Linked DNA regions of Alligator mississippiensis. The protein of the gene in region 2 purifies or fractionates together with the protein of the main gene of each other region. This does not show direct contact. Links are inferred from orthologs where the notes say so. Each region holds a gene or a part of one and is shown on either strand. Other genes may lie near its edges.

What was found. Proteins that work in one complex are often made in the same cells at the same time.
Region 1: the proteins of YWHAE (region 2) and CDK18 purify together in Homo sapiens (affinity purification with mass spectrometry; 3 studies listed by BioGRID and IntAct, with this or other methods). This does not show direct contact. The link is inferred for Alligator mississippiensis from reciprocal best matches to the Homo sapiens genes YWHAE and CDK18.

Annotation. Positions count from the first base shown.
Region 1 is NC_081837.1:40,972,371-40,980,261, reverse strand, and holds the start of CDK18 (cyclin-dependent kinase 18), read right to left. Parts: upstream 3,059-7,891; 5' UTR 2,815-3,058; exon of another isoform or gene 2,781-2,814; intron 1-2,780. UniProt on the Homo sapiens protein: May play a role in signal transduction cascades in terminally differentiated cells.
Region 2 is NC_081837.1:261,234-268,245, reverse strand, and holds the start of YWHAE (14-3-3 protein epsilon), read left to right. Parts: upstream 1-3,944; 5' UTR 3,945-4,062; coding exon 4,063-4,126; intron 4,127-7,012. UniProt on the Homo sapiens protein: Adapter protein implicated in the regulation of a large spectrum of both general and specialized signaling pathways. Binds to a large number of partners, usually by recognition of a phosphoserine or phosphothreonine motif.

The sequences.
Region 1 (7,891 bases), about 41 Mb from region 2:
TCACTTTTCTCTGTGGTCTGAAAACAATTTCGGTTCCAGGGGGACCGGCTGCCCAGCAGTACAGGCGGGGATGTCGGATGGCCGAGTGGCCAGGCAAGAGAAGAGCAACTTTAGTTGCAGAGAAAAAAACTACCTTAACAGGCACCTTGAATAGCAATGCAAGCAGGATACTGCTTTTGATTACAGATCTTCTCTGCAGAGTGAACTGCCTGCAGGATTGTAATGTGGGCCTCTGCACAACAGGTCGTGTTTGGTTATCTGTTCCTGGCTCCAGACAGCAGCAGCGAGTTTGTTTGGAAAGGGATAAGAAAGCCAATTCAACAGGCAGATCCCCCGCATGGATTCCATTTGCTGAAAGCAGCCAAGTGACCTCTTTAAAATTGGGCCCTTAATAGCTGCCCCGAAGCAGGTCAAAGCAGTGTCAGCCAGTTGGGGCCAAATCTTTTTGGGTTCAATCCACCAGTAACTCAAAAGGACACTCACTCCAAAGATCCTTTTCTGAGCTCTGTATGCCCTGACAAAACGAGCGCAGCGCTAGGAGTCAAGATCCTTAGGTTCCCATCCTAGCTGCATGACCTGGAGTGAGTCAGTTCCTCTCTCCGCTCTGTTTCCCCTTCTCCGGGGTTACTACTGAATAGAAAGCACCAAGGGAATGCCAACTGTGCTTTGGGCAAGACCCCAGACAGATGTCCCCAGCTTGCTGGAGCATCTTGGGTTTGCAATGAAGCCAGAGGAGTATTTCAGGGTGGGTAACGAAAGATAAAGTGTTCTCTGTCCGCAGAAGCCAGCATGGGGGCCGTGGATTCAGAACGGGTTCCACCTGAAAACCCCATCTCAGCTCGCGTCTAACTATAATAAAAGTCACACCGTGGATTTGGAATGCATTAGCTGAAGGTTTAAAACACCCCACTCAGAAACGATATAATACCCAGCAGGGTGCATGGCTGTATATCATCACCACCTATAATAGGTGTAGATGCGACCCAGTAACCACATCCCTGGACACGCACAAGCCAGCGAAGCCTGCCTTAGGCATCCATGCAAGGGGCTGGCAAGGCACGGTTGTTTAGTTAAGAGTGGCCTTCAGCACTGAAAACAACGCTGCGATGCCCTGGAGCCTTGCAAGCCACCCGCCCACTGCTCCACCGCTCTCCATAAGCACGCCTTGCGGCACAAGGCCAGGTCCAGCGTTACCAGCATCTCACTGATAGAGACCCTGAAGCACAGAGATTAAGTGACTCACCCAAGGCCATGCTGGGAGCCTGTAGCAGAGGCAGGGGTAGACCCTGCATCTTCTGAGGCCTGCCCTTCAGCCACCGTCGGACCGTCCCTCCCCTGGGCATGAGGGGACTTTCCGGCCCTCTGTGCCATTGCCTTACTGACTTCCTCCTAGGAAAATCCCCGAGGCCTGATTCCACCCTGTCATCCTCTGTCGTACTGCGTGAGCCTCCATGTAGGGATCTCCTCAGGCAGAGGGACCGGGCAGCATCTCGAAGCCCTATGGGATGGAAGGCTATAGAGTGCCTGTGATGCTGTCGCCAAGGGCCTGGAGCAAAAGGACCTCTCACCGTGCCTCAGTTTCCCACAAACAGGAAGCAACACTGTTCATCCAGAGCACAGCTGCACCTGGAGACCTCAGGCTCTTGCACTGGGTTGGTTTCTCCATTTGCTCCAAACCCTGTGCCCCCCCGCTCCCCCAAATGCTCGGCAGCCCCACTGAAGTAGCACCACTGGCTTCCCTGGATGGAAATCAGTTCTTCCCCCTGTGCGCCGCTCCTTGCTTTGAATGGAGCCTATTGCCTTTCCACTAGCCCTTTCCCTGCCACCTGGGCAAGCAAGCCCCCTCCTCCTCTACCTCTCGCATGCTGCAGCAGTGATTTGGCAGACACAAAGTGCAACCGTCCCTATGCTGGAGCCTCAGGCTGGAGACTGCTATTTCTTCCCTTGCGGCGCTGATGCCACCATTGAGCCCAGCAGCCTGCAGGGCTCATTCTGGCTTGCTTTCATCCAGAAAAGAGCCGGCTTGTGAAAGCATCTCTGGCGAGGGTTTTGGGTGCAGATCAGCTGTATCAGTATCGTTCCCTACCCCGCCGGTGATGAAGGAGAGGATGACTCTGGGGGCGATTTTCCCATGTACTTAGGAATGTGTGAGAGCCCGAGCGATGCACAGGACCGTGACAGCCACAGAAAGTGCGATGGGACACCGCGCTCCCACCCCACGAGGAGCATGTGAACAGAGGTCAGACACGGCAAACCTGTGTACAACTGCCTCTTCCCCTCCCAAGTGCAGCCCTGAAAAGTTTTGCCTTGGAGACCATGGCTTTCTCCTCTCCTCCTCGCACACAGGCCCCCACCTGAGACGGGCCGATGCCCGGATAGCAAACTCCCTGGGGTTTGGGAGAAGGGGGCGGTGGGAGACAGCAGAAAAGAAAGCTCCCACCCCAACCCTGACCCCGACCCCAATGCACGGGGCAATGCCACCCTCTGAGAAGGAGACCGGAAAATCGCCCTGCTCCGTTTGACACCAGCTGCCTTGCCTCAGTTTCCCCTCAGCTCTAACTCTGCCCCTGCTGCCTCCCCCATAGCCCAGCCCCCCGGCACCAGAGGAGGAACCAAGCCCCAGGGGAACAAGGAGGCTCTGCGGGGAAGCACGAGAGAGGGAAAAAGAAAGGGGAACTGCTTCTTTAAAGGCAACCCCAGCCTGCTGGCCCTTTGCTCTGTTTACATTGCCATGTTGCTGAAATGCAACTCCACAACCGGGAAGAGGCAGTTGTACTCACACGGCCGGGAAAGGAGACGCTTTCGCTCACTCACTCTTTTTTCTTTCTTTCTTTTCTTCTTTCCTTTTGGTTCCTTCTCTCCCACCGAGGCCCCCTTCGCTCCCCTGGGTCCCTGCCTCTGCTCTCTCCCCCCGCGCTCGCTGGGCCTCGGAAGTTCAATCCCAGGAAAGGTAAGGAAAGGTTCTTTCTGCAGCAACCTGAGCCAGGAGGCGCTGAGCAAAGGGAGGAGAGAGAGAGAGAGAGAGAGAGAGAGAGAGAGAGAAATCCTCCTGGTAGGGCTGGAGTATTTCATGTGTGACACTGGCCCCTCCCCACAGCTGACATCCCTGCCGGGCAACTGCCAATCCAGGGGTTTGGGCAAGCCCTGCTGGGCCCTGCCGCCTTCCCACAGGCTGTCCCGGCTGCGCAGGGATGGCACGGGCTGCCTTTCGGGGTGGCTGGAGCCGCACTCCCTCCTGCTCGCTTGGAGAACACGTCTGGGCTCTCATCTCGCCTGCTGCCAGAGCTGGGCAAGCATACGCACGCACACATGCATGTATATACACGTGCACACACGCATGCTCACACACCTACATGTGCACACACGCATGTACATACATGTGTGCACACACATGCTTGCACACGTATGTACATATACGTGCAAATGCTCACATACATGCATACACACGTGCACATACACGCACGTGCATGTACATACACATGCACATGCTCACATACATGCATATACACACGTGCACATACACGCACATGCACATACACGCACATGCTTGTACACATGCATATACACACACGTGCACATGCTCACATACATGCATATACACACGTGCATATACACACGTGCACATACATGCACATGCTTGCACACATGCATGTACATACACGTGCACATGCTCACATACATGCACGTCCATACACATGCTCGCACACACGTGCACATGCACACACATGCATGCACGCACACACATGCGCATACCCACCTTATGGTAGCAGTACAACACGGTGCACATAACGGTACCGTGGGTCGTTGCCGTGCCAGGCAGATCCAAGCGGCCAAACCTGGGCAGGGATTCCCTACCGCTCCGCTCCACACAGGCTCTGGCTCTGGGGTCCAATTTGGCCGACAGTAAAAAGAGCAGCCAGCGGGAAAAGGCGAACTCTGGAGCTGCCAGAGGGCTGGGACTCCAGCTGGTGGTGGAAAGGAACATGCTTCCCCTCGCTGCAATGGAGTGGTGCTGATTTACACCCCTGGAGCACCTGGTCCACAGCCATACCAATTCAGAGGTGCAGGCAAGCAGAGGAAAAAGGAGTCAGCAATGGGTCCAATTCAGATCCAGTGCCGGGCTCTGAGCTCCCCTCCCCAGAGATGGGGTGCTGGGTGCAGCCTGCTTGCCCCAGGGGTTTCACTGCTAGCAGCCGCCCCTTCTCCCAGGGATCTCAAGAGCGCTTTGCTGCTGCTCGCAGGAGCCCCTGGCAAGGAGGCACCCCAGAGGTGTCACCCTGGGGGGAAGGAAGCCCATCCACACCCTGGCTCTTTCCACTGGCCCTCAGGGACTTGCAGGGGCTATCAGCAGCTGCAGGCAAATGCTGACAGCCCCTGAGGCTGCTCTAACCCACAAAGGGAGAAAAACGGACCCTTGGGACCTCAGCACGTAGCTTCCATCTCCCCTCCCCTGGCACCTTCACTGGGGCCTGGAGGGATGAAGCTGTCTCACAGCATGCAAACTCAATGGCTCTGTCAAACCAGCCTACCTCTCCCCTCAACGCTGCTGGCTTTGGAATGGGTTTGCCTGCATCTTGTGCAAGGAAATCTCTGCCTACCGCATCTCTGCTGAGTTACGCACTTTTAATCATCTTCATCTTCCCCACTATTTACTCTATTATATTTAGCTTAACACAGGCAGCTTTCCAAAAATAGACAACCATGGAAAATATCAGGCATCGAGGGGGTGCCAACCTCATCTGTTTGCAGCTAATTAATTTCTTATAAACCCTGCTATGTGGATTCCCCTCCCCCCCCCAACCATCTTGGCTGTCACCAGAATTTCGGTAATTAATGTAATCTCAGGTTAAAATTTCAGGGCTGTGCAAAAGGATTCAGAAATAATTATGTGGTTGGGGCCAGGAGTGAGAGAAAGAGATGCTGACAGCAGACCTCTGCAGGGCATGGTACAACACCTGAGACACCAGCCAGCATAGCAGGAGAGCACAGGAGCGAGGGAAAGGGAGGAGAGGCAGATAGGATGGTGACCCCCAAGTCCAAGGGGATGCAGGCTTGCCCTCCACCCCTTTTCTTTCTGTCTCACGATGGAGACAGCCCCATTGCTGGGAGCCTGGGAGGCGAGCGAGGGGACAGCGTTGCAACAGCATACAGAACTGAGCAATGGGGAGAGAGGAGCTCCAGCCAGGCTGTTTCACCCCGATGTTGTTGGGTCACCTGAACATCTCTGCTCAAATGGCCCAACAAGGTGGATAGGTGCTGGGTGGGGCTTGGGGTGTGTGAAGGATTCAGCATCCCGACCCCAACACCAGGGCAGCTGGGAACATGCAGGCACGTCCCCTTCCAGCTCTCTCCTCTTCTGCAGGCTTCTCCAGCCACAACTTGTTGCACATCTCAGCAGACACCCCAAGGGCTGCATGGAGTTGGGAGGCCGGACTCCCCCTTTGCCCCCAGCATCAGAACAGCTGCCATTGCTGCTCAGGTTTGGGGCACACTGCAGAGGGCTTTCTGCTGGCTAGGGAGGACAGATGGCTTTGAAGAGAAGGCTGGGGGAGTGAGACATGGGACTAGGAGATCTGGGTCCAGCTTCCTGATCTGCATGACCTTGGGTGTGTCCCTTAGCTTCTGTGTGCCTCAGCACCCTGACCTGCAAAATGGGGATAACAGCCCACACGCTGTCTCCTTGTCCACCGGAGACTGCAAACTCTTTGGAGCACAGACAGTCTCAGTGTGTTGAAGTGCAAAATGGAGCTTTGATCTTAGCATAGTAGCGGTCGCTACTATTATAGTAGCTACAGTTATAGCCAAAGCTCTCTCCAGTGCTGTTAACTTGGCACCTTGCATTCGTTTAGAACCAGAAAGCAAAGCGCGACTGCAGGGAAGCCATATCTAATGAGGAGCGTGAGCCCATGGCTGAGGACAGACAGAGAAATCGCCAAGAGAAGCAATCAGCTTAGGAGGAAGAGCTGGACCTCGGTGCGAGAGGAAAGAATCCTAGAGCCAATTAGTGGCACAGACAGAAGCCAAGGAGCTGCATCCCCCCAGCTGCTTACTGGGCCATAGCATTTCTCATGCTCCAAAAAAAAACAAGGAACACAAGGAAAATACAAGGGAGTTTGCTGGCTTGCAAGGGAGAGGAAAAATTCCTAGAGCTAGCTGGCTGTTCAGACACCCTGGGAGAGCAGCCAGATTCCTCCAAATGTGAGATGCTCATCAGGATGTGGGTCAGGAACACAGCACGCTGGAACAGCACCAGATGCCATGCCGTGGACCGAGGCTGGACCCCCGTCACCAGCAACATCCCACAACAAACCGTCCCTCGGTCTGTGGAGGGCAGCAGGGTCAGACGGTCGCGGGTCCTAAATCTGGCACGTATCAGCAGAGGCCTCCGAGAGAGGGAGCGGTGCATTGCTGAGGTTGTGCCTGGAAGGCATGTTTCAAAGAAGCCAATGTAATGGCTGAGTGAAACACAGGCATGCTGGTTTCTAAGTCTGTGTTTTCTGCACCGTCCCACAGGCGTTCATGAAGAAGGGCTGCCGAATCACGTGTGCAAGCATCACATTTCATGGGGGGATGTTGCTGAACGCGCGCCTGTTGCAGGGAGGGTCGTTGGGCAAAAATAGGTCGGGTTCAGATGTCGTGACACTTTGCAGAAGCCAGTGACTGTGAGCTCTGCTCCTCCATGGGGGAGATCTTGCTCCATCCCAGTGCCCTGAGGCACAGAGCCGCCAGCAGGTCAGACCAGGCCAGTGAGCCAGGCTGTTCTCTGACAGCAGCCACAAGCTACTCCACTAGATGCAGCCACAGAAATGCTGTCAAGTTACTGGGGGGCAAATCCAGGCACCAACAGCTTAGGCTGCAGCTGGAACCTCTACAGCAGCAGAGACATTCCCATGGGAGATGGGCACATCTGTCCCCAACCCCCTCTCTGCAAAGGCCATCATTCCCCATTCTACCAAAGCATCTGCTAACTTTCCTGCTCCTAACATGGGGCCCCTGCTCGAGCAATCCCGTTCCTTGCTGCAAGGCTTCAGGCCGGCGATGCTAGTCGTGGGCTGCAGAGAAGGCGGGCTGGAGCATTTCTGGGAGCTGCAGAAGAGACTGCTGAGCTCTGAGCAGCATTTTAATCACGGGCACTAGGGATTCACCGGAGCTGCTCTTATCCACAGCGTTCGCCTGCAATCGGTGCATCGGCACCCTGCGGATCAAAGGGGATGCCCGGGAAACGGAGCAGCCCCACTGCAACACCCGGGGCAGTGCTCCACTGCAGACACCAGCGCCCACCTCCCCTCGCTGGGATGAGGGCTGGCATGTAGTAAGGGAGTGCTAGAGCTAGAAACAGATGCCGGCTCATTCCAGGCCTTCACAATGCGGCACATCTGACACTGTATTGCAGACTTGCCTCCAGCAGTACAGATGTACTCGGCTAATCCTTCCTCCAGGAAAGAAGGGGAAGGGAGCACGGTACCGTGCAGGGAGCTAGGGTGTGGACCTGCCACCGTAGTCTCCCATGTGCATAGTCTTACCCAGCAGGACGTGTGAGGGACCCTGTCCTTCAGCAAAAGTGGGAAAGCTGCCTGGCTTGGCTGTAGCCTACCCCCCAGGCAATGACAACAGAGCGGCAGCTGTGCTGGAGATTTGCACCCTGGCTTTAGCCTATGGCAGCCTCTTCACAGGCGGAGATCACCTCTCTGCTGTCTGCCATCCCACGCACTTTGCTCCATCTCCAAGCATTCACATCTGGGCAGATCCCAGAGGATTCCTGCCAAAGCACTTAGAGAGGATCATGTGCATCTTTTCTCCTCCGCTAAACCAGCTGACACACGCTCACACTTTGCTCAGGCGGAGGCACCCGATGGCTCTTTGGGGAGAGCTTTTCGAATCTCACTCCTAA
Region 2 (7,012 bases):
TCACAACAAAAATGAGTGCATTAAGTGTTTTATGTCGTGTATTATTTGGATTTTCTGCTTTTTCTACTAACCTATACCTGGTTTTCTTTAACACAAATTACAGTGGATACATTATTTTTTGGTTTGTTTTAAACTAAAACTAAACACTGAGATAACAACCCCTTGCATGCATCTTGGACTGATTTCTTTTGGAATACAGTGATTCAGTGACCAAAACAGCCAAAGGTGAAAAACAGTTTTGAATATATCGTGACCCTGTCTGACAGGGTATTTTCAGATTCTGTCAAAATAAACAAATAAATAGCAATAGAACGTCTCTTAACCCTTAGTTGTAAATGTAGCAAGGGCTACTTCCCGCCACAGAGGCTGCTGCAGCAGGCCACAGGTAATGTTTTACCTGAGAAATATTAAACTGCTGAAACAGCCATGTCTTCTCCTTTTTCTATTTGTAATTAAACATTTGTTGACCTTTCCCCCAGCCCCGACTTAGAATCATAGACTCATAAGGCTGGAAGGGACTGCAAAGGATCATCTGAGAACTCAGGTCAGTATGTCTGCCCCATTTTCATTAAGGAAATGGGTGCAGAATAATACTGTAGAGCAAGCCTGATGCACACTAATGAATCCTTTCCCCTCCCCATCCCCAGCTTTCTTAAACCTTGTGGAAAACTGACAACTAATTTGTCCTTGTGGCAGTGACTTAGAGATGATCATAATGAGATTACATTACTATTGAATCCCCAGGCCTTGATGGTGGGATTGCACGTACTAGCACAGAAAGTGCTTCCAAAATGCTGAAAGATGTTTTAATAATGAGTTTAGTAAAATGTTAGTTTCTTTACAGCTGATTTGTATGATTATTTTTTTGGACCCTGCTACTTACTGGAACTGAACACTCAATGCCTGCAGCTCTAAACCCAGAGCTTCCTAATTGCCTTGTATGTGCATTTATTTTTCTTCAGGTATTAGAAAAGGATAATTAGGCAAAGGAGAGATGTGCTCAGTGTTCTCAGTAGGGCAGTACAATTTAGTCTATTTTAAATTGATTCTTTCTGCCACAGTACAGAACGCTAGCCCATACATTCTTGGCACGCACACACGCAACCCCCCCCTCCCCCCACATATCTTCTGAAAGAAATGTTTTATTATGTCCTTTTTTAATCTAGAAGGAGAGATGGGAATTGTTATTACTAAGTAAGTGAATGGTCCTACTAAGGTTGTAGCTAGGCTCTTGTGAAGACTTTATAATCACAAATTCTTAAACACTGACATGGCAGAAAAAGTCTTAATTGCTGATGTTGCTGCAGACTTCTAAGTTTTTGTCCAGCATTTTTTCTTAGCCAGCTAGTACATTACTGCAAACATTCCGCTATTTATTGAGTTTTCAGCTGGAGTTTAGGTTTATTCCACAGATGGCAGACCTAAAGGATGTTTGCATTTGTACAAAATAGAGGTATCAACCTCTCGTCAGGTTCTCCAAGGACAGTTGAAATGGACTTCCATAAATATATAAGTGAAATCCTCTTGTGGCCTTTGTCACTCCTATTCCACATCTCCCAGTCTCTGAGGGGGTGGAGGGAACCTCTTTTTTTCCATCATCTCTGCTTGGCTGCAGTTGTAAGGGGGGGGGGGTGTGCGCGTGTGGGTGTGTGTGTGTGTGTGTCCATGCATAGGCAGGTGCTAAAACAAAAAACGTATTTCTAGAAATACAGCATGAAAGCAGAAGGCGCAACTACACTGTGTTCTGGTGCATTTACACATTTTATCACACTAAATAAAATACAACTTGGCTGCTATGGTTTTATTTCAGTAATCCCCAACTTTTTAAAACTACTTTTTGAACTGGTAACGGTCTCGTTAATCTGTTTGAGTTGTTTGTGTTAATGCAAATACTTCTAATCATCTTGGAGTAAAAACACTTCATTTTCTTAATGATTGCGGGGGGGGGGAGAGGTCAAGGAAACCAGTTTGAAGCAAAAATATATGAACATGTGCCATTGTATTATAACACTATCCACTTTCTTGACAGTAAAAATTCTTTTAATTTTTTTGTAGCATGTAATGTATATGTTCATAGTATGTGAAGTAAATAAAAAAAAATAGCCAAAAAAATGGCTTGGTGTCCTTGTAGAGAAAGTGTTTTTTGGAAGATTTCCATTTGTTTACCAATGATAATATAAAGACTACTTTGCAATGATAAAATATTGTCTGCAGTACCAGTTTTTGCACTGGCAAATTGCTCACCTATAAGAAGCTACTGAAAGCAACATTTGCATAAGATTAAGCTTAACTGATGAGAAATAACATTTAGGCTTTTGAAAACAAAGTGCTTTGTTTAAAACTAAACAAAACACTAACTCCTATTTACTGAAAAATGCCAAAGCTTTTCTTTTGCGGAGCAAATAAAATCACACTTCATATTAGCTCATAATAGTTTTGTAAGTTTTGATGTCTCTTGCAATCCTTTTAAGGTGTTAACAGAGTAATATTTGACCATGAGTATAGCTCGCCATATTCATTCCTCTTAGGTTTTCATAGTTATAGAACAGTTAAATATATGTTTTTGGCAGTTTGGGGGGGGGGGGAGACCTGTCTGACTACTACTGCGCTGTATCTGGAGTTACCTTGCTGTGGCTGGGCATCTTTGGCTATTGCAGTTCTCACAGGTTTCATAGTTTCATAGTTGGTCGGGTCGGCAGGGACCTTGACAGATCATCAAGTCTGACCCCCTGCCATGGCAGGAAAGAGCACTGGGGTCAAACGACCCCAGCAAGGTGTTCATCCAGCCTCCTCTTAAAAAGCCCCAGGGTAGGAGCCAGCACCACCTCTCTTGCTCAAGAGCAGTTATAATAATAGTTGATACGTTCACTTCCAGGATTATGGGATGAACACTCTCACCAGACACCTTCATTCATTAGAACATGCCAGCAAGGAAGCAAGCAGTAGTAGTCGTGTTAAATTCATTTTTAGGTATCAGAAGTTGAAGTTTAGAAGATGGAGATCGTTTCTCAGCTAAATTTGGGTTGAGTCTGTACGCAGGCCAACGTGCATTGGCACTCCCAGGGATGGGAGAGGCGGCGTGGGGGCGTGTTTTTAAATGAAAGCTTAATACGTACTATCATCCCTTGCCACAAGGCGATGGTCTGGTACAAAGTGAGACTAGAACTCAGGGGGAAGTTGCCCCGTGTTAGAGCTATTTATCGCTGCGGCCATCCTGGTCGTGGCTGTGCTTGGCCCCGGGGCGGAGAGCCGGAGCTTGCCGCTCTCCGCCAACCAGCGCGTAACAGCCCGGCCCCGCCAGCGAGCGCGCGCTGCCCCGGGCTGGCCGAGGAGAGGGCCTGCGGCGTCCCCGACGGCTCCTCCCTGCCCGGCCGCCGCCGCCCCGAGCACCTGACGGTCCTCACGCGGGGCTTCCGCCACCAGCGCGGCTGCGAAGCCTCATCTCGGGGTGGGTTTCCGCGCTGGGGGGCCCCGAGTGTGATGAGCACTGGTTTGAAACGATGAGAGCAGGCTCCCGAGCGGGGAGACCCTGCTCCCCCGGGCCCTTGCTCGCCAAAACGCCACGAGTCAAAGCATTCTTAGTTAACAGAACATGTCTATGTAAAAGCAAAAGGCCGCTAACGAGCGAGGCCCGAGGCGGAGCGGCGCTCTCCGCAGCGCGGCAGGGATCCCCGGGCTGCGGGGACGCCGGGGCCGGCTGCGCTGCCTCGTGCTCGTCCCTCGTGTCGGGGCCGCGGACCGGAGCGCCAGGGCGTAGCCCCGCGGGCTGCGGACAAAGCCGCCGCCGGCCTCGGCCTCGGCGCCCGACCCCGCCCGCCGCCGCCGCCTTCCCCCCCGGCCGCAGGAAGGCGCGGCCCGGCCGGCCCGGCGGTTGCTAGGGTGCCGCCGTTGCCAGGGGAGCAGCGCGCATGCGCACGCGGGCGGAAGTGCCCGGATGCAGCGGGAGGAGGCGCTGCCGCCATCTTTGCCCGGAGAGCAGTGAGCTGGTAGCTGCCGAGCCTCGCGGACTCATCGGCCTCCATCCGCCCCGCGCAGTCCCCGACGCCGCCCCGCCTGCTGGACATGGACGATCGGGAGGACCTCGTGTACCAGGCCAAGCTGGCCGAGCAGGCCGAGCGCTACGATGGTGAGGGCCGGCCTGGCGGGGCGGGGCGGGCGAGCGGCGGAGCGGAGGGAGCGGCCACAAAATGGCGGCGGCTGGGCAGGGGGCCGAGGCGGCGGCCGGGGGCCTACAAAATGGCGGCAGGAGCCCCCGGGGCTGCCGGGCGCCGCGGAGAAAATGGCGGCTGGGAAGGCGAGTCCTGGGAAGAGAAGGGAAGGGGAAGCGAGCCGAGCCGCCCCCGCCCGAGGGCCCACAAAGCCCGGCCGTGTTGCGCCGGGCCCGGCTTGTGACGCGGCGGGGAAGGTTCCGGCGGGCCTGGTCGGCTTGATGCCTGGCGCGCCCTGAGGCTCCGGGGCCGGTCTCGGCCGTGTCCTCCCCTCCTCTTCCCCCCCGCCTCCACCCGGGCCGGCGCCGCGCTGCTCCGCTGCCAGCTGCTGGCGCGGCCCCGCCGGGCCTTCACCGCCCGGGCGCTGGGCACATAACGGGCACTTCTTCCTGTAGGAGGCCGCTGCAAATGCTCGGGAAATGCGCTCCTCTCGTGTTCGCAATGGTCCGGGGTCACTGCGTTGTGCAGCATCTTCCCAGCCTGCCCTCGTCCTGCTGGTGAAGGTTCCTGGGCTGCGCCAGGTTCATTGCCAATCGCAAGACGTGAGGAATGGGAAATGATCCTAAATACTTGTAAGGTGCCTGTCACCACCTATTTCCAATCGTGGAGGCTATACTTCAGGAATACCACTTGGATCACATGCTTTGTGGGGAGGGATTAAAAAACCTGCTTGTCACTCTTACCCTAGTGCAGTGGTTTCTCAGCCTTGTGAGACTGGAGGCGTCAGTCCCTTTGAAGATGCCAGCTGCTAGTTTTCACTTTTTCTTTTTTGTACTGTAGGAAAATACTAGAGCAGTTTTTCTGTTGCAAAGAGCTCAGAACCCCGGTAGCACGTTGGAGTGTTTTATCACCTACGTTCCTGTGTGAAATGCTAGCTTTCCTTTGTGACACAGTTGCATGCCTAAGAGGGCCAACATTGTGGCGCCTTGGAAACCTGTGGAGGGAGGCACCCCGGTGCTGTTGCGTCCTGGCTGAGACCCAGTCCTCTGGCGGATGTAAACTTCTGGCTTTGGAGCTGGATCTTTCATATGGCATCGCGAAGATAAAAACTTAATCAAGGGTTGTGACTAATAACGGATTAGATGTGTATCTGTACAGTCCACGTGAGGTTCTTTCTCCCTGCTGTGTGGTCAGGGACATGAGGTGGCTGCTTCTCATACCTTTCCCAAGTATCAGAACGAAAAATGACCAATATTCCCTACCCCGGTTTGCAATGCGAGGAAGATAATAAAAATGACAAGAACTAGGTTATGGGTCATCCCAGTTGTTGCTAAAGGGAATTATCAGTGGCATATGCTAGCACTAGAAAAGTATTCACAAAATGGAGCCAGAGACAGCGGTTAATACAGGAGACTTTCTTCCTGAGAGGATAGCCACAAGCCTGGAAGAAATGGTAGAGTAATTCATAACTTAAATATTTCTCATTTTTATTAGCTGAGGAAGGTTCTAAAATGTATTGGGTACCAGGCTGTTCAGAGGCTGTTATGGGATCTAGTTAGCACTAGAAAAAGTTGTCCAGTGTGCAGTGTAGATGTAGTGTGGAGTGCCTGGTGAAAGTTGACTGTAATTGCAACTGTGCCTGCAATAAGACTTCTGCTGGCATAGCTACATCTGTTGGGGGGGGGGGGGGTCTTTTTTGGTTTGTTTTGTTCCCATGACCCCATCTGGCACAGTTACGACCTAAGTGGGAGACCCATGAGCTGCTTTGCTTGTGTACAGTACTGTTAAGGAGGCTTTGAGGCAGGGTTGTGCTTCTCTTTGGAATTTTCTTAATACAAGCTGCATCTCATTCCTGCTAATGCCCAGTGCTTTTTTTTTTCTTCTAAACACTGATATAGGCATCTTCTCTGCATAACAATTAACCCTTCCCAATAATTAAGCTATTGATTGTAGGGTCACCCTAGGGTGCTACCTACCACTCTCTGCCCATCATTTAAGAATGAGCATTTAAAAAAGCAAAACCAGATTTGTTCAAGTGGTGAAAGCATATGAAATGTGCATCACTGTAGCTGTTATTGAGACTTGAGCAAAAAGCAAGCCTTAAAATCAGTATTTCAGAGATCACAGTACTGTTTTCTGGAACATCTTAAGCCAAATTGAACTGGCCTTGGGAAACAAGTTAAAGACCAATCATAGTTAAAACCATAGTTCAGTATCATTGGTCACTTTCCTTTGGCTGTTAAAACAGGAAATGTATGCTTTTAAGTTTTGATTGCCTCTTAATTTTGTATATCTCTCTACATCTGGTTCTTCACTATTTTCAAATGTCAAGTTGCAGTATTTTAGGAAGAAGGATTAGAAACAAGGCTCGTGAACCCCCCCTCCCCCCCATATTTATTTATTTTTATTGCTTGGAGAAAATATTTTTAAGTAAAACTTCTGCCTAATAATGTAACTAGCATTAGTCTTTTAGCTTTGTTCTGTGTTGATCTTGGTGATGTGTTTTGTGAAGTTGTTTCATTTTGGAGGTGGCACTATTAACATAATCATTGGTCTGTGTAATACTTATAAGCAGTAAGACTAATCTAAAGTATAGATAATATGAAACACCATTCTTGCCCACAGCATTAACGCTAACATAATATGTCCAGTTTCAGTGTTTGTAACCATTCTGCCATCATAGCATCTGTTAGTTCTTTCTCTTTGGGCAAATGTTTCTGTGGGTATCCAGGTATCTTAACAGTAGTTAGAGCCTGTTGGGCCTGTGGGGTTTGAAAATCTGATCCTTTGCATTTGGTCGATGGTACAGGTTTCTTGGCACTACTGTAACCTAAGTAATAGGAAGGCCCAAATTCATGAAGACA